Callithrix jacchus: one gene and its partners. The protein of the gene in region 1 interacts with the protein of each later gene in a biochemical or structural test. Links are inferred from orthologs where the notes say so. Each region holds a gene or a part of one and is shown in the gene's direction. Other genes may lie near its edges.

Region 1 (4,368 bases):
GTAAACTAAAACTCAGTGATAGCCATTTTGCAAGAAGCTGCTGGACTAATGTGGTTCAACTTTTTGGCCAAAGGAGCAGTGTATAGACTAAGGATTTGAGCTCCATTAGTGGGATAAAAAAATCTTTATAAAGATGGTAGCCAGCATTTAAAAAGACCATGAAATAGAGAAGAAGCAATAAGTAAATATCAGAGTGCATGATACATAATAAGTATTATTTTGAGAAATAATTATTTCTTTTGTATGTGTTTGTATATTTTTGTGGGATGGAATAAAATGTGTTTCTTATTGTGAGTTATAATGAAAAGCTTCAAGAGCCACTAACCTAGTTGGCAGCACTGTCCACTTGATTCCTCAGAACCAACTATTTAAACTCCAGGAAATTGTATTTATATTTCAATGTTGGGAAGAAAGTAAGAATTGATACACTTCTTTTTTTCTAATACTGGAAAGGAAATGTAAAGATTGTGGAACCTGTAAAGCATTTCTGTCTTATGAATTCCCATATTACGTTTTTATTTTGGGGACACTCATTACTTTACACAATTACTTTTTTATGTACCTTTGATTTTCATATTACAGAAGGTAGTATCTTACCCATATTTGTGTTGTTACAACATTTAATTCAGTGTCTTGCACGTAATAGATACTTAGAATTTGAGTGTTAACTATTGGGTGATAGACTTGGCAGGACAGTTGAGAAGTGAAAGAGTCAATGATTAGAATAAAAATGGCAAGCAGAGCTTAAGAGAATAAGAGCAGGATATAAGAACATTAAACTGTGATAGGTATTGAGGGGAAATTTCCTTGCATTTGTTTTAATTTATTTTTGTAAAATACTTCTGTGATTATCAGATTGGTTAAAACCCCAAATAAGGGATTTGACTTTTTTTGTTCTTATTGGATCAATTTATATAGAAATTAAACGTTACATAATTATTTGTTTTATCCTGATTAGGCGTTTACAGTCCCTAATTAAAAATATTACACTTAGAAGAACAAAGACAAGCAAAATTAAAGGAAAACCTGTTTTGGAGTTACCAGAACGTAAAGTATTTATTCAGCACATTACACTTTCAGATGACGAAAGAAGGATTTATCAGTCTGTGAAAAATGAAGGCAGAGCTACTATTGGAAGGTATGGAGAAAGAAAGCCATTGAATTATAGTATGTTTTACAAATTAATAGTTAAAGTGAATGAAATAATAGTATCATTCACCAGATAAGTAATTTCTTAAGTTTGGAATAAATTTAAAGCTTACATTAAACCAAAGTTCTTAGTTGCTAGCCAGAAGACCTTGCTTGCTTCTATTTCCAGCATCGTGTGGAAATCTGGGAATAGGAACCGATGAAAGAGGTTTAACAAGAAGATTAAGGATTGGTAGAAGGTGTGAAATTCTAGTCCAAGCAAGATCAGATTTAATATGAATGCCCATAGGGAACAGAATGAATAAGAGACAAGTGAAAGCAGAATAGGACTGTGAAAGGGGAATCTTCAAAGCATAAAAACTTCAGTGAGGTAGGTACAAAGCAGATTTGATAGGAATTAGAGAGACTGGGAAAGATTGTTCTAAGCAGGAGATTTCTGAGTTCAAAACTTATTTCTTTTCATATTCTTTCGACAAAAATTTATTAAGTGCCCACTGTGTGCCAGGCAATACAGATTGGGATACAGCAGAATAAAATGCAAAAATCCCTGCACCCAAGGAATTTATATTTTAATGGGAATAAATGGAATTTTAAAACATGATTACGTTTTATGGAATAAAGCAATGAAAGGGGATGGAGAATGCCAAAGCTATTTTAGTAGGGCATTAAGGAAGACTTCACGAGAAGATGATATATAGGCAAAGATCTAAAGGAGATTGGGATTAAGGGGTGTTTCAGCCAGAAGAAACAGCAAGTGTAAATGCTCCCAGTTGGGAGCATGTCTGGGGAGCTTGAAGAAGAACAGAGAGGCAAGTATGGCTGGATAGTATGAACAAAAGGGAAAATAGTCATGATATCAAAGATGTATTGGAATGGGGCTGTGTAATACATATTTCAAGGACTTTGGGTTTTACTTTTTATGACAGGAAACCTTAAAGGGTTTCAAGCCAGGAGAGTGACATAATTTGATTTGTATTTTTAAAAGATCACTCTGGCCTGCGGTGTTCAGATTTAGGTTGTTTGAATAGGAATAAGTTCAGAAATAGGGAGACCAGTAGCAATCAAAGTAAGAGATGATGGTGGGTTTTTTTTTTTGAGACGGAGTTTCGCTCTTGTTACCCAAGCTGGAGTGCAATGGCGCGATCTCGGCTCACCTCAACCTCTGCCTCCTGGGTTCAGGCATTTCTCCTGCCTCAGCCTCCTGAGTAGCTGGGATTACAGGCACGTGCCACCATGCCCAGCTAATTTTTTGTATTTTTAGTAGAGACGGGGTTTCACCTTGTTGACCAGGATGGTCTCGATTTCTTGACCTGGTGATCCAACCGCCTCGGCCTCCCAAAGTGCTGGGATTACAGGCATAAGCCACCGATGGTGGTTTTTTTTACCATGGTAGTGATAAAGGAAATGAGAAATGATTAGATTCTGTTAAATTGTGAATATAAAACCAACAGAACTTGCTGGTGGATATGCTATGGTGTGTGAACGAGAGGAGTCAAAGATAACTTCAAGCCTTTTTACCTGAATATCTGGAAGGATGGAATTGCCATTTACCAAGACAGTTCTACGGGAAGGGCAGAGCAGTTTAGGTGATCTGTACCATTGTCACACAGTTAGTGAATGACAGGACTGATATTTAAACTCTGGCAGTTTGGTTTAGAGCTTGTAAGTTTAACCTTTGTATTATTTTGCCTATTCCTTACATTGTTAAATATTCAGAAGTATTTGTTGCCATAATACTACCGGTACTAATACTAGCAGCAGATTAGCAGACTAACACTAGCAGCAGTGTATAGCACTTAATATAGTCCCAGCACTATTTTAAATACTTTACATGTATTAAATTAAATAACAGTAGTTCTATGAGGTAAGCACTTTAACAATGCCACTGTACAACTGAGGAAGCTCAAGACATAGGTTAAGCACCTGTCCAAGGTTACATAATTAAAGTGGCAGAGCCAGGTTTTGAATTCATGACCAGCTAACTCTAAAAATCTGTGCTCTTAGCCATTAGGCTATATTTCTTCTGTTGCTTTAAAATACTTAAATATCTCAGATGGCCTGGTTATATAATTTTTGGATCACCCATTTCCTTCAGAATCTATATTGTCATTGTATCACTGTATTTTGCATTGAATGTTTCTGTGGGGAAGACTGGTTTTGTTTTGTCTTTTTTTCCTCTAAAGTTTAGCAACCTCCTTGTTGACTTTCCCTGTGGTATTATTTAAATCTTTAGATTCTAGGCTTTTTTCCCCCTTTCCTGGAAAGCTTTCTTTAAATATTGTTTTCTGTTCCATTATTTTATTTCTCTGTGTGTATGTTAGATGTCTTTTATCTGCATTCCATAGGTATCATTTTTTTTATTTATTTATTTATTTTTGAGATGGAGTCTCTCTCTGTCACCCTGGCTGGAGTGCAATGGCGTGATCTCAGCTTACTGCAACCCCTGCCTCCCAGGTTCAAGCGATTCTCCTGCCTCAGCCTCCCGAGTAGCTGGGACTGCAGGTGCCTGTCACCACACCCAGCTAATTTTTGTATTTTTAGTTGAGATGGGGTTTCCTCATATTGGCCAGGCTGGTCTCAAATTCCTGACCTTGTGATCTGCCTGCCTCAGCCTCCCAGAGTGCTGGGATTACAGGCATGAGCCACTGCGCCTGGCCTGTTTCTGATCTTTTACATTTTTTTGTTTAATTTTGTTTTTTCAATCCTGTTTCCTACATCCTTTTCTATGTTTTTATCAGTTACTAGCCTTTTTGATAATGACTTATATTGGTTTCAGTGTGACTTTCATTTCTCTGATGATTCACTGTTTTCTTTCACTTTCTTGAGCTATACCAGCTCATCTTTCATCTCTTTATGTTGTCTTGCCATTTTTTTTTTCAAAGCTCTTTGTCTTTGCTTTAAGCTTTTTTTTTTTGAGACGGAGTTTCGCTCTTGTTACCCAGGCTGGAGTGCAATGGCGCGATCTCAGCTCACCGCAACCTCCGCCTCCTGGGTTCAGGCAATTCTCCTGCCTCAGCCTCCCGAGCAGCTGTGCTTTAAGCTTTTTTTGGGGAAGAACTGTTTTATTGGGTGATGTTAAATTATGACAGTATCTTTGGTCATAACTTTTGCTTGCTCTGTGGCAACATTTTTCTGCTGTTTCCTTTCACTGCCATTTGTTCCCTACCTTTGCTCTCTGCTGATTATTACTTATACTTGAATATTTTGAGTTCTTGTTAC
Region 2 (5,067 bases), on another chromosome or scaffold:
TGTGCCCTGCACTACAGCCTGGGCGACAGTTTGAGATTCCGTCTCAAAAAAAAAAAAAAAAGAAAGAAAGAAAAAGAAAAAAAGGAAAAGAAAAACCTAATTACCTTGTCCGACTAGTATTGTGAAAAAACAATTACTGGTTCACTCAGTCCACGGACCTGGTCTTAGATGCTTTTCCCTTATCTCTCCAAGACCCTACTGCCCCTGCATCCAGAACTATCCAACCTCTTCCAGCTCAGCCTGGCATGCATTTGAATGCCGTTCTATGATTGCCTGATACAAAGCATAAGGGTGGGGGTTGGCACCATAAACCTCCATTCCTCATCTTCCTTTTGGGAGTCCCACTAGGTCCAACAACCTGAGATTCTCAGACCTGGCTCTGCCCCTTGACTTGGTTTACTTAACTGTTTCTCAAAAAATTATCAGTGGGTGATTTCTTCTGGTTTTAGGTTAAAAGACCTAGGTTCCATCCTGGATAATGCCACTGACAAACTGTGGTTTATATGAATTCCTTTACCTCTCTAAGACTTAGTTCTCATGATGAAGGCCTTATGAGAATATTCTGTTGTGGTCAATATGGACTCTCAAGCCAGACTGAGTTCAAATCTTTCATCTTCCACTACCAGCAGGGTGCCTTGTGAATAAGTCAAATAAGTGCATATGTGTAAAAAACTTAGAATGGTGTTTTGCATACACGTGCCTAATAAATGCCAGCTACTACTGTAATGGATACTAAAGTCCTTTCTCTTTTTTTTGAGACGGAGTTTCGCTCTTCTTACCCAGGCTGGAGTGCAATGGCGCGATCTTGGCTCACTGCAGCCTCCGCCTCCTGGGTTCAGGCAATTCTCCTGCCTCAGCCTCCTGAGTAGCTGGGATTACAGGCACGCGCCACCATGCCCAGCTGATTTTTTGTATTTTTAGTAGAGACGGGGTTTCACCATGTTGACCAGGATGGTCTTGATCTCTTGACCTTGTGATCCACCCGCCTCAGCCTCCAAAGTCTAAAGTCCTTTCTCTAAATGCTATTAGTATTAATATTACTGCCCAGTAAGTATTTGGGTGCAAGCTGGGAAAAATCAATTGAATACAGCTTTGGCTAAGAGACTAGAGGGTTCTTATGAAGAGAACTCAGAGGAGTGAAGTCTTAAGCTTTCTGAGCCTCAGTGTCCTCATTTGTAAGATGGCCATAACAGTCTAATCTCTGCCTGCTTCCCAAGAAAGCTCAAGTGCCTGGCCCGTTGTAAGCATTCAGAAAATATTTGTGAAATGAATCAGTGCATGGACCACGTGGGGCGTGTTCTTCATCTTAAGCCTCAATGGGCTCCAAAATGTCCCTTCCTAGATTCTACAAAAAGAGTGTTTCCAACCTACTGAATCAAAACAGAGGTTTCAACTGTGTGAGAATCCACACATTGCAAGGCATTTTCAGATAGCTGGTTTCTAGTTTTTATTGTGGGATATTCGGATTTTGCCATGAGCCTATATGGATTCCGAAATGTCCCTTCCCAGATTCTTGCTAACTTGGTGGGAATATCAAGGGCAAGGATTCAAGGGTGGGGATATTGCTAACTTGATTTAGCAGAGTTCTTTGCTAAAACTGGATTTTATCACGAAGTACACAGATTGGCCTAGGAGAAGGTTCAGGAGCCTGACTAAAGTTTGGTCAAGCCAAGAATCTTTGCCAATTTGCATAGGAAATATCTGGAAGGCTATATGCCGAAGTTAATAGTGCTTCTCTCTGAAGAAAAACTGTACATTAAAATTTTAATATGATTAAAAGGAAGAGCTCCTATTTAAACTCCAGAGGTCCTGTTTCGAATCTGACTCGAAACTCTATTCAGCTTTTCCGGAGTAGTTTCCGCTTGTGTAAACTGACAATGATAACACCTACCTCCCAGTGTTGTAATATGGGAGAGATATTACACAGTAGCGGACATAGCCTAGCGCAGGCGCAGTACAAGCACCATCAGCAGCGCCCCGCCCACATCCTACTACAATTTCCGGCAGGCTCCGCGCCCGCCTCTGGCGCGTCGCGGGTTGTGACGTAATGCGATAGCGCGGGGAATTTCGAGTGGTATTGGAGCGCCGGAGGCTAGTTGAGTGGTAGACCCCAGCATCTTCAGGAGCGACCATGGACTCCCTAACCGAGCCTCGGTGGCCGCCGGGCCTGGCAGTTATGAAGGTGAGTGCTTCGGGGAGGTTGGGGGCTCCCGGGTGCCTGCGGGGGGCGGTCCCTCCCTTTGAGGAGGATGTCCTCGCCTTGAGGAGAAAAAATGAGGCGCGAGAGTCGCACTGGGCCATAGTACCCGGCTCTGCTCTGTCACTAGCCGACCGCGTGGCTCTGGGTCTCAGTTTACTCCTTTGATAAGTGACAAGGACAAGCTTGGTGAGCTGAGGTTGACAGTCTAATGGAACCAGATATTCTGCGATCCAATCCGAACAGTAACATGGAGAAAAACAGCTGTTCTAAACAATGACATTGTCAGCTAACCTTCACTGAAAGCTTACTTTGTGTCAAGCACTAAACAGTGACACCGGACATGATTTTGGGTGGACACTTTATCAAGTAACATGTATGTAATCACGTAGCCAAGCAGGTAGTCTCCTTTACAGGCTCTTCTGATTATTCTCAATAAACCTACTGCTGGTTTGTACCGACATACTGCCCCAGCTCCTCCCTCACACGTCCTATCTCTTCTGTAACAATTGCTCATCTCTCTGTCTTTTAAACAAAGATCAAGATTCAGCAGTCATCTTTCATTGCATCGAATTATTTCAGTTAAATAACACTTATTTTTGTAGCCACTTTCTGTTTTGGCAAGGCAACAGTTTCCATTTACGTAGTGGTGGTCCCTGGATTTGCTCAAGAGCAGATGCACATTCCCGTGCTGGCTAAAAGTCAGTTGTTTGGTGTTTCTTTTTGCTCTGTGATTATTTTTGTTTCTGACAGTGGCTAAGATAGCCTTTTTCTCTTCCTCAGTTTTGTAGTCTTGGGGATTATAGTATCTGTCCCACTGGCTCATAAAGTTGACTTTAGAATTAAGTGAAGGCTAAAATAAGTATAAGGCCTTGTTCTTCCTGCTGTCATCCGTGATATTTAGAGGTCTTGGGGACTTGAGATATCTGCATGACGAGAAGCTGACATTGTGAAAGGATCCAGGAAAGCGGTGGTTTCGAAGTTGTGATGGGCTTGGCACCAAGATGCCGTGGAAAAGAGCACAGATTTGAATTCTAGTGGTCCTGGGTGAAATCTGATCTCTGCCTCTTAGCTGTGTGACCTTCAGTTAGTAACATAACCTCTCTGAGCCTGAATTTCTTCAACTATAAATTAGAGACAAAAATAAACAGTTCATAGGGTTGATTAAATAAATGAGTTCATGTGTGTGGGTGCAGATTCTGCAGGCTTATTCATTGTGCTTGATGCGGTGCCTGACAGAAAGTGAGTGCTCAAGTATTATTTGCTGCTTGATTGAAAGTATCTGGAATGTAGTAAGCATTCAATGAATATATTTTATTACTATTATTAGCACTGTGCTAAGTGCTTCTCTCCCCTTTTAATTTGTTGTCATGAAGCTTGATTTGGATAAGGAAAGTAAAAGAACTCTGTAACCTGTAAAGCTCCTGCTTTGTAGATTTAAGCATATTTTACATATTCCCACAATTTCAGTGTTCTTTAGAGGCAGGTTCCATGTCTTCTCTGACTTTGGTATCTCACCACGGCACTGAATATAGAGTTTGATACCACAGAGTGTTCAGTGATTGTTCAACCAGAGAGTTGATTGAGCCCATATTTTTTGCTCACATTAGAATCATAGAATCTTAAGGTTTGGAAACCAGCCTCCTTCATTATTTTAAACTCTTTTATAACATATCTGCCAATTTCTCACCTAATTTTTGCTTGAACTCTTCCAGGGACAAAGAACTATCAGATCCCAGAAGTGGATCTGACTAAAGTTACTTCTAATAGAAGTCTGACTCAGAATGCATGGTTCCTGACTTAGGATCCGTAGAAAGACTTCGGAGTCTCAAGTTATTTGTAGAATTTTCGTATATATGTTTTTCTGAGAATAGAGTCCATAGTTTTCATCTAATTTTCAAAGGGATCTGTAACCCCAAAAACTTGGGTATTTTTGTAAGTATTATGTTTTTCTACCCATTTTCTACTCCCTTTCACTTTCTCTCTCTCTAAACTAAAGACATTTTGGGGTGTCTGCTGACCACTCTCTATTCAGGCATCGTTTTTTGTTTGGTTGGTTGAGGCACATGTGATACGCATATTACAGTCTTGGAGAGACATGACCAGAAATTTGAACCCGAAATAGCTCATCTTATGGAGTGTCAACTTCCACAAATTGTGCTCTGCAGATCTTTCTGAATCATTACTCCACCGAAGAGAATGGCATAGATAAGAAAGAGTGGTATGACAGACTGGTTCCGGCTTCTGGGCCTGCCTCTGATCTTAATTGATCTTTAACATTAACCCTCTAGATTTTTGTGTCTGTGACAGCTTACCATCCACAATAATGGAAGATTTTGGCATTTTATTATTTCCCTGGTTTTATTTTAGCAAAATTGGACTCTTTTTGGCATATTGTAAATGTAATAGGTGTACACAGTAGAAAAAAATTAAAATTCAGAGTAAGATAAAGGTGAAAAAGAAAATCATCTGTAATCCTACCACCCAGAGAACCAGTGTTTAACATTTTACCTTATTTTCCTTCAGTTTTTACGCATTTAAAATTTGGGATCATTGTGGAGTCAACTTCTTGGGTTTGATTCAGCCAACCTAGGAACTCTGAAGGCTTTGTTTTTAAAATTGGGGTACTGATGCTGTGGACTTTATAAGATTGCCATGAAGATTAAACTACAGAGTTGCCATTATTATGTATTATTGGCATATATTTATTTTCTGATTTTTATTTTCCTATGGCATTAAATATTCTTTGAAAGCATGTTTTTTAATGGTTGCATAATATTTCATCATATGGACTGTTGGCAACATTAGTCTTTTTTTTGTATAAATTTTAAAAATTCAGATAATAGGTTCACTTGGTTCAGGATACACAT
Region 3 (5,060 bases), on another chromosome or scaffold:
ATGATCCTCAGCTCCAGCCAATCATTAATCAGGTGAGAAAATGATGGTGGACCCTCCAATTATCTAAGGCAAGAAACTTAGATTGTTAGGAGAAATTTTCTGATTTTTAAGGCAACATGTGGGCCAAAGAAAACATCTACAGGTCACCCATGGGCAATCCCCAAGTGAACCAGTCTCCCTCATTCTAGTCCAAGCTCCCTCAATCCATTCTACACATCACTGCCAGATCAGTTTTCCAAATACAGGACTCCTGACCACTGCTATCTCGGAAAGCACAACTACAACTACAAAGTCCTATGCTGCCATTCAATGTCCACAGTAATACAACTACTCCCTACCTTCCTCAACTCCCCTACACAGACCTTTCACTTCACCCAAAGGAATCTACTCCCACACCCGTCACCCCCCAGCCGCTGTCCCCGCCAAGATGGCCTCCTTCCTACTCTCCTCCCCTACTCACCAGAACCCATACGGCACAGGAAACAACCCATCAACTGGGAGGACTCCCTCCAACACCTGCTGATGACGGGGTGGCTCACTGCGTAACACACCTCTCTGCTCAAAGCCGATGATTTCCTGTCCAAGAAGGGATTTACATATGCCAGGAGGCAAATGCTATGGCCTTGTCCCGATTCCGACACCCCCCAAAATAATAACATTGCAAAAGGGAACGGAGAGCCTAAGTCGCGGTCAGAGGAGCCGCCTATCTGAGAAAGCTCTGCACATCTTCACCTCCAGGAAGGCCTCAGGGAGGTAGGGGGAGAGGGGGGTCCCGCAGTCAGCCCAGCGAGGCAGGAGGCCGTGCGCCACTCCAGGCGAGCTCCTTCCTGCGCCCCAGGGGAGCCACTCCAGCCAGACCCTGAGCCGGGACTCCGACCCGCCAACCCTTGACATGCGCGCAGCAAAGGCTAGGCACCCGAGGACCCATCGCGCTGCCCGGGGCCGCCGTCCGCCACGACAAGGGATCAGAGGACTAGAGGACCCCCCTGCGCGCGTCCCCACCGGGCCTCCTGGATGCGCCGCTGTCCCGGCCGCGCCCACCCCGAGGCTGCCGCTACCTTGTCCTCGGGCGGCGCATCCGGCTCGTGGGCCACCCTCTGCCTCAGCTCGGTCATCCTGGAAAAACCTGCCCGACGTCGCCGCGGGCGAGCAGCGCAGCAGCCAGGAAAGGCAGCTCAGCGCGGGCACGCGCGGACTCCCTCGGCCGGCCCCGCCCCGCCCGGGAGTCGCGCGGCTCCGAACAGCTCACAGTTCCCTTAGCAGCCCAGCAGCCAGCCCTGGAGCTCGGCCCCGCCCAGCGCCGTCACGGCCCTTTCACCCGGGCGGAGCAGGGTCTGCCTTCCCTGGCCCCGGCCCGCGAGCTCCTCCTCCCCGGAGGCGGGCTCGGAGCGAGTGCGCACGCGCAGCGCCGCCATCACGACCCGAAAGATCGACCAACGGCGCAAATACGCCAGGGACAGGGAGACGGGGGCGGGGCGGAGCAGAGTTGAGAGGCTCGCATTGGACGGCAGCGTCAGGGGCGGGAATAGGCGTGCGTTTCAGAGTCCGATTAGCCAATGGGAGCTCCTGCTTCAATGCAGATGGCTGAAGCTGGCGCCCTGGTTCTGGAGGTAACGGATTACCGACGGCGAGAGGCGCCACCCGGAGGCTCTAGCCTGACAAATACTTGCTGACCTGGGCTCTGAGCCCGCAGCAGCAAGGGCTCTTTCTTCACGCAAGTAAGTAGACGTTATTTAGGCCGAATGGAGAGGCCAGGTGAGCCGACCTGATTAAAAGCATTATCGCTTATCACATGATGAGAAGTGGAACCCACACTTCAATCTGCCTTGCTTTGCCAAGCGGTCTCTAGTACTTGTTGAGCGCTAACTGTATACTAGGCACTGAGCTGGGTAATCGCTTTAGTTGGCTTATCTCATTTAATCCACACATGGCTTGGAAGTGAGTATGATTTGCATTTTGCAGTTGAGATCTTCCTCAGTTTATTTATTTATTTATTATTGAGACAGAGTCTCGCTCTGTCGCCCACTATCTCAGCTCACTGCAGCCTCCTCCTCCCGGGTTCAAGCAATTCTGTCTCAGCCTTCCGAGGAGCCGGGACTACAGGCGCTCGCCACCACGCCCGGCCAATTTTTGTATTTTTAGTAGAGACAGGGTTTCACCATATCAGGCTGGTCTTGAACTGCTGACTTCAGATGATCCGCCCATCTTGGCCTCCCAAAGTGTTGGGATTACAGGCGTGAGCCACTGCACCGAGCCCTTCCTCACTTTCTAAAATTTGTCTTCTGGACTATGGAAAGGCTCAATAATTTTGAGCCAGGCTGGCCAACATAGTGAAACCCCATCGCTACCAGAAATACAAAAATTAGCTGGCCATGGTGGCGGGAGCCTGTAATCTCAGCTACTCAGATGGCTGAGGCAGGAGAATCGCTTGAACCTGGGAGGCAGAGGTTCCAGTGTGCGGAGGTCACGCCACTTGCACTCCAGCCTAGGTGACAGAGTGACATTCCATCTCAAACAAAAAATGATTTACTTTGACGGCTGCTAAAATTATTGATGGAGGGGCCATCCTAAAGTAACTAAATTTCTGGGGGAGGGCCAAGTGGAATAGGCTTTTTTAAAGCTCCCCAGGTGAGTCTAGAGTGCAGCCAGGATTGAGAATAATTCTGATACATATTACCTTATGAAGAAATTTGCCAGATACTACATAAAATAATTTATAGCATTTTCTCCCAGTATTCATTTTCTGACCAATACATTTTTACTGAAAAAAGTATAGAAAATACAGAAAATGCAAGAAAAATTTAAAATTATTTGTGGCACCATCAGCCAGATAATTACTGTTCATATTTATCTTCTTGCTTTTCCATTCCATTTACTGTACACATACACCCAGATATAACAATTTGAGAAAATTGGAATACCTTTGTTTATTCTGCTTCATAACGTGATTTTTCTCTTTATTAAGCTCTTTGCAAATCGTACGTTAGAGGCTAAACAATATTCCATCTTACAGATTTATCACAATTTACCTAACAAATGCAAACACTGTTAGACCTTAAGGTTATGTCCAATTTCTGGGGGAATTATTAATAATTCTGTAAGAGGCCAGGCACGGTGGCTCATGTCTGTAACCCCAGCACTTTGGGAGGCAAAGGTGGGAGGATCATTTGAGCCCAAGAGTTTGAGACCAGCCTAGGCAATATGGTGAAACCCTATCTCTCCAAAATATTAGCTGGGCTTGGTGGTGTTCACCTGTAGTCCCAGCCACTTGGAAGGCTGAGGTGGGAGGATCACCTGAGCCCAGGTCAAAGCTGTGGTGAGGTGAGCTCATGCTACTGTACCTCAGCCTGGATGACAAAGTGAGAACCTTTCTCAAAAATAATAATCATCGGGCGGGGCATGGTGGCTCACACCTGTAATCCCAGCACTTTAGGAGGCTGTGGCGGGCAGATCACAAGATCAAGACCATCCTGACCTACATGGTGAAACCCCGACTCTACTAAAACATTCAAAAATTAGCTAGGCATGGTGGCACACACCTGTAGTTCCAGCTACTCGAGAGGCTGAGGCAGGAGAATTGCTTGAACCCGGGAGGCAGAGGTTGCAGTGATCTGAGATGGCACCACTGCACGCCAGCCTGGTGACAGAGCAAGACTCCATCTCCAAAAAAAAAAAAAAATTGTCAGTCATCATCATCATTCTGTAAGAAACATTTTTTTTTTTTTTTTGAAACATAGTCTTGCCCTGTTGCCCAGGCTGGAGGGGAGTGTCGCAATTTTGGTTCACTGTAACCTCTGCCTCCCAGGTTCAAGCAATTTGTGCCTCAGCCTCCCAAGTAGCTGGGATTACAGGTGTGTGCCACCACACCCAGCTAATTTTTGTATTTTCAGTAGAGACAGAGATTCACTTTGTTGATCAGGCTGGTCTGGAACTCCTGACCTCAAGTAATCTGCCCACCTTGGCCTCCCAAAGTGCTGGGATTACAGGTGTGTGCCACTGTGCCCAGCTGCTTTTATTATTTTCTAATAGTTTAATATCTGATCAAAATTTACTTAATTGATTCTTTACTGATTCAATAGTACATTTACTAGATGTTAAAGTATCCTCTTAAAATGTAAATTGGATCATATCAAAGACCTGCTGTTGACAACGTTCGCTTGCACTTTTACAGAGCCTACAAAGTCCTGCAAGAGTTCACCCCAGCCTCTCTGCAACCTCACCGAAACCTCACCTTGCACCACTCTTACTCCAGATGCAACCTCACCTTGCACCACTCTAGCACTTAGTCTGAGTGCTACATCTAACTTGTCTGAATATATTCCAAGTATGCTGACCTTTATTTTTTTATTTTATTTTATTTTTTTTGAGACGGAGTTTTTGCTCTTGTTACCCAGGCTGGAGTGCAATGGAGCGATCTCGGCTCACTGCAACCTCCGCTTCCTGGGTTCAGGCAATTCTCCTGCCTCAGCCTCCTGAGTAGCTGGGATTACAGGCACGCGCCACCATGCCCAGCTAATTTTTTGTATTTTTAGTAGAGATGGGGTTTCACCATGTTGACCAGGATTGTCTCGATCTCTTGACCTTGTGATCCACCCGCTTCGGCCTCCCAAAGTGCTGGGATTACAAGCTTGAGCCACCACTCCCGGCCTATGCTGACCTTTATAATCATGCTATTCTCTCAGCCTAGAATGCTTTTCTTCCAACTCTCCAAACAGCTGTCTTCTCTGACAAGATGCTATCTTCTCAGAGAGGCCTTCTCTGACCACAGTCAGAGGCATGTTTATGTCCTCATTTCAATTTAACATGAGTTTAACACAACCGTACACCTCTTTATCATTCGACATTTTTAGGAACACATCACTTCTAAAATAGCAAAAATAATTCATCTACATTGTAAGTCCCACATGGGTAGAATTTAATTGACATTTAAAATGCCGTCAAATCTATTACACTGTGATTTGGCATTAAACCAAAATGTTATTATGTAAGCAGACAGGACTGAAACAGAGTAGTGGAGCATATGCATTTGTTTTTAGTGAAGCAAATGTTCCTCACTGGAG
Region 4 (4,813 bases), on another chromosome or scaffold:
ACTACAGGGACTTGCCACTGAGCCTGGCATTTCAGTTAGGTTGTTATATCAGGTCCCTTTGTGAGAAAAACAGTCTCATTTTGGCTTGTCAAGTTAGAGTGGCTTACTGTAAGGATACTGTATTATTTTTCTTTCTTTTTTCTTTTTCTTTTTTTTTTTTTTAAGATAGAGTCTTGGCGCGGTGGCTCAGGCCTATAATCCCAGTACTTTGGGAGGCCGAGGCGGGTGGATCATGAGGTCAAGAGATCCAGACAATCCTGGTCAACAAAGTTAAACCCGTCTGTACTAAAAATACAAAAATTAGCTGGGCACGGTAGCGCGTGCCTGTAATCTCAGCTACTCGGCAGGCTGAGGCAGGAGAATTGCTTGAACCCAGGAGGCGGATATTGCGGTGAGCCGAGATCATGCCATTGCACTCCAGCCTGGGTAACAAGAGCAAAACTCCGTCTCAAAAAAAAAAAGAGTCTCATTCTTTTGCCCAAGCTCTATTACAGTGGTGCCATCATAGCTCATTGTAACCTTAACTTCTTAACCTTCTGGCTCAAGTGATCCTCCCATCTCAGCCTCCTGAGTAGCTGAGGCTACAGGCATGAACCACCTGTAGACACAGGGTATCACTATGTAGACTATTTTATGTAGACACAGGGTATCACTATGTTGTCCAGGCTGGTCTCAAACTCTTGGGCTTAAGCAGTCCTCCTGCCTCAGCCTCCCAAAGTGTTAGGATTACAGAAGTGAGCTGTGGGCCGGATGCGGTGGCTCACACCTGTAATCCCAGCACTCTGGGAGGTTGAAGTGGACGGGTCACCTGAGGTCATGAGTTCAAAACCAGCCTGGCCAACATTGTGAAATCTCTACTATAAATACAAAAATTGGCTAGGCCTGGTGACTCACGCCTGTAATCCCAGCACTGTGGGAGGCCGAGGTGGATCATGAAGTCAGGAGTCTGAGATCGGCCTGACCAACGTGGTGAAACCCATCTCTAATTAAAAACAAATATATACAAAATTGAACCGTGCTCGGGAGGCTGAGGCAGGAGAATTGCTTGAACCCAGGAGGCAGACATTGCAGTGAGCCAAGATCGTACCACTGCACTTCAGCCTGGGTGACAAAGACTGTCTCAAAAAAGAAGAAGAAGAAAGAAGGAGGAGGAGGAGAAGAAATTAGTAGTAGTAGAAGTAGTGAGCTGCGGTGCCCAGCCTGTATTACTTTTCTTTCTTTCTTTTCTTTGAGACAGAGTTTCCCTCTGTTACCCAGGCTGGAGTGCAGTGATCTCTGCTCACTACAGCTGGACCTCTTGGGCTCAAGCAATCCTCCCATCTCAGTCTCCCTTGCTCCTTAACTTTGTCCAACTCTTTTGAATCATTTATCAACGCAAATGCGTCAATGCCCACTTGTTTTATTTTTATTTTTTGAGATGGCGTCTCGCTCTGTAGCCCAGGCTGGAGTCCAGTGGCGAGATCTAGGTTCACTGCAACCTCTGCCTCTCCGGTTCAAGAGATTTCTCGTGCCTCAGCCTCCCAAGTAGCTGAGATTATCTGAGCGCGCCACCACGTCTGGCTAATTTTTGTGTTTTTTAGCAGAGAGGGTTTCGCCATGTTGGCCAGGTCGGTTTCGAACTCATGACCTCAAGTGGTCTGCCCGCCTCGGCCTCCCAAAGTGCAAAGGGCGTGAGCCACCGCGCCTGGCCCTCATGAAGTTATTTCATTTTGAGAGCAGATTCACAAGGAACCGCAGAAACAGCAGCAAGGCCCGCGACACCTCGGCCCACGTGCGCGCTGTCACTGCTAGGGTAGCCCCCGCCAGCCGGGGGCGGAGGCCGCCGTGACGAATGCAGGGCTGCGCGCTCCCGGAAGTGACGTGCGACGGCTCGTGCGTGCGTGCGGGCGGCTGCGTCGGGCTGCAGGAGAAGATGGCGGTCTCCACAGGTCTGTTCCCGGGCCGGGCTGCCTGCTTTTCCGCTCCGACCCGGCTCTGTCTCTCCGCCTGCTGCTGGCGGCCGAGCTGTGACCTTGTGGGGAAAGCTCGAGAGCGCTGTCTCGAATGCTGCGCTTTCTGTGGAGCGAAGCCTGGGACCGGGTGGGACCGGCGCCGAGGGCCCCGGCGGCCGTCGGGGTGGTGGGTCGTGCTCGCGCGTCGGCCGCGCGCCTGCAGGCTGGGGGCGGGGTGTTTCCCGCGCGGGTGCACCCGTAGGGTCCGGCGGGTGCCGGTCCTAGTTGTGGGCTGAAGGCTCTACGGGAGAGAGGCGAGGAGGCCCAAGGTGGACGGGTGTCAACCTCCGACACCGGAGAGGGGTCAGGCCAAGAGGTGTCCTGGATCATGGTGGGGGTCCCATTCCCCGGGACTCTCCTTGACATGGGTGTGGGAGTAGAGATCGGTTGCTCCTTAAAATAAGGGAGGGATAGAGGGTCATTCTTACCCGACTGAATACGTATTTTTTTTTTTATTTAAGTGAAAAACTGCAGTGCAAACAAAATAAAAGCACAGAGCAAGATGAAAGCTAATTGAAGAACAAGTGGTTTCTTAGATAAGCCGTTCAACTCCTCTTTCCTACTGAATACAATGTATTAACGCTGAGGTTTTAGACCATTTCGGAAACGTTAAAAAGGTTAAGTTTTACTACACGTTTAAAAATGTCAACACATATGATCTGCCTTTTCCTAGACTTCATTGAAACTAGATTATAGAGCACTGTGATTTAATAGTTCATGCCATCTTTGCATAATAAAATGAATTTTCAAATCCGTATTTACTGAAATGCAAGGCTTCGAATGTATGTTGTAATTGTTAGAGTAATACCTCAGGATACATTCTGCATGATTTTTTTTTTTTTTTTTTTTGAGGCGGAGTTTCCCTCTTGTTGCCCGGGCTGGAGTGCAATGGTGTGAGCTCAGCTCACCACAACCTCCACCTCCCAGGTTCAAGTGATTCTCCTGCCTCAGCCTCCCGAGGTCGCTTATGCCTGTAACCCCAGCACTTTGGGAGGGCGAGGCGGTCGGATCTTTTGAGGTCTGGAGTTCGAGACTAGCCTGACCAACATGGAGAAACTCCTTCTCTACTAAAAATACAAAATTAGCCCGGCATGGTGGCGCATGCCTGTAATCCCAGCTACTTGAGAGGCTGAGGCAGGAGAATTGCTTGAACCCAGGAGGCGGAAGTTGAGTGAGCAGAGATCGCGCCATTGCACTCCAGCCTGGGCAACAAGAGTGAAACTCTGTCCAAAAAAAAAAGGCATTTTAGTGTTATGACTTTACTGTGCGTGCTGTTTGAAATCTGTGTGCTCGTTAATGGCGTCATATATTTTTAAGAGTTGTGCTTAGGGCCTCTTAGAGATTTTTGAGTATTTAGTAATAAAATATTGCATTTTTTTTTTTTCTCTGTCTCCAGGTGTCAGGCTGGAGTGCAGTGGTGTGATCTCGGCTCACTGCAACCTCTCCCTGGTTCAGGCAATCCTCCTGCCTCAGCCTCTGGAGTAGCTGGGACTACAGGCGCGCACCACCACGCCCAGCTAATTTTTGTATTTTAGTAGAGACAGGGTTTCACTATGTTGGCCAGGATAGTCTTGATCTAACCTCGCGATCCCCCCACCTTGGCCTCTCAAAGTGCTAGGATTACAGGCGTGAGCCACCGCGCCTGGCTAAAATAATGCATTTTAATGTAGTAGTTTTCATTTTCATTTTGTGAATTGCATTATTTATTTAAACACAATTTTTTTCATAACACTGAGCATATGAGTGAATGTTATATTTTGAAAAGACCAAAGGTTAGATGATATTAATGGCAAATACTTTTTGTTAAGGACTTTTAGTTTTGAAAATTGAATATAAATTATAAAGATTACTGATAAATTATTAGCATGTTGTAGATAGGGAGTCTGTATCTTCTTTTTCTCTGTAAAAATAGAGATGGGGTCTCACTATGTTGAATGACAATGCTTCCTACTTCGAATTTGAAGTTGGTCTCAAATTGCTGGCTCAAGAGATCCTCCCACCTCAGCCTCCCAAAGTGCTCAGGTTACAGGTGTGAGCCACCATACTTGGCCAATATTTTCTAATTTTTATTTCAGCATTCTGTTACAGTTTTACTTCCTTTTTAGACTTAGGAAATTTGAAATCTTGGGGAAATTAAGAAGTTAATATATTTTAGAGAGTTAATGAAATTTTTGTAAACCACTGAAATTTGATTTGAAACTATTGCTAAAAACCTGCCCTGTTCAGTTTCGTATTTTGTTTATTCATTTTCTGTACTTTAGATAATTGATAATATAGTCAAACTGGGTGGGAGATGAGCTCAGAAGAAACTTTACCACTGTGGGGTTTTTTTTTTTTTTTAGTTTTTTAAATCTTTTATTTTTTTCAGGCACCTGCCACCACACCTGGCTAATTTTTGTATTTTTAGTAGACAGGGTTTTACCATGTTGGCCAGGCAGGTCTGGAACTTCTCACCTCAGGTGATCCGCCTGCCTCAGCCTCCCAAAGTGCTCCCGTCTACCAATTAGATTATTATTATTTTTTTTTTGAGATGGAGTCTTGCTTCTTTGCCCAGGCTGGAGTGAAGTGCCATGATCTTGGCTCACTGCAATCTCTGCCTCTTGGGTTCAAGCATTCTCCTGTCTCAGCCTCCTCAGTAGGTGGGATTACAGACTTGCGCTACCATGCCTGGCTAATTTTTGTATTTTTAGTAGAGACGGGGTTTCCCCTTGGCCAGGCTGGTCACGAACTCCTGACCTTTAGTAATCCACCCATCTTGGCCTCCCAAAGTACAGGGATTACAGGTGTGAGCCACTGTGCCTGGTCTATTAATTAGTTTTAAT

What was found.
Region 2: the proteins of HLTF (region 1) and RAD18 form a complex in vitro, tested with the Homo sapiens proteins (2 studies listed by BioGRID). The link is inferred for Callithrix jacchus from reciprocal best matches to the Homo sapiens genes HLTF and RAD18.
Region 3: of the proteins of HLTF (region 1) and PCNA, one has a biochemical effect on the other in vitro, tested with the Homo sapiens proteins (2 studies listed by BioGRID). The link is inferred for Callithrix jacchus from reciprocal best matches to the Homo sapiens genes HLTF and PCNA.
Region 4: the proteins of HLTF (region 1) and UBE2V2 form a complex in vitro, tested with the Homo sapiens proteins (2 studies listed by BioGRID). The link is inferred for Callithrix jacchus from reciprocal best matches to the Homo sapiens genes HLTF and UBE2V2.

The regions. Positions count from the first base shown.
Region 1 is NC_133518.1:36,208,087-36,212,454, forward strand, and holds part of HLTF (helicase-like transcription factor), read left to right. Parts: intron 1-958; coding exon 959-1,138; intron 1,139-4,368. UniProt on the Homo sapiens protein: Has both helicase and E3 ubiquitin ligase activities. Possesses intrinsic ATP-dependent nucleosome-remodeling activity; This activity may be required for transcriptional activation or repression of specific target promoters.
Region 2 is NC_133516.1:66,167,669-66,172,735, reverse strand, and holds the start of RAD18 (E3 ubiquitin-protein ligase RAD18), read left to right. Parts: upstream 1-2,044; 5' UTR 2,045-2,131; coding exon 2,132-2,182; intron 2,183-5,067. UniProt on the Homo sapiens protein: E3 ubiquitin-protein ligase involved in postreplication repair of UV-damaged DNA. Postreplication repair functions in gap-filling of a daughter strand on replication of damaged DNA.
Region 3 is NC_133506.1:12,557,893-12,562,952, reverse strand, and holds the start of PCNA (proliferating cell nuclear antigen), read left to right. Parts: upstream 1-1,576; 5' UTR 1,577-1,718; intron 1,719-4,171; exon of another isoform or gene 4,172-4,324; intron 4,325-5,060. UniProt on the Homo sapiens protein: Auxiliary protein of DNA polymerase delta and epsilon, is involved in the control of eukaryotic DNA replication by increasing the polymerase's processibility during elongation of the leading strand.
Region 4 is NC_133517.1:6,664,121-6,668,933, reverse strand, and holds the start of UBE2V2 (ubiquitin-conjugating enzyme E2 variant 2), read left to right. Parts: upstream 1-1,829; 5' UTR 1,830-1,831; coding exon 1,832-1,928; intron 1,929-2,152; exon of another isoform or gene 2,153-2,322; intron 2,323-2,452; exon of another isoform or gene 2,453-2,608; intron 2,609-4,813. UniProt on the Homo sapiens protein: Has no ubiquitin ligase activity on its own. The UBE2V2/UBE2N heterodimer catalyzes the synthesis of non-canonical poly-ubiquitin chains that are linked through 'Lys-63'. This type of poly-ubiquitination does not lead to protein degradation by the proteasome.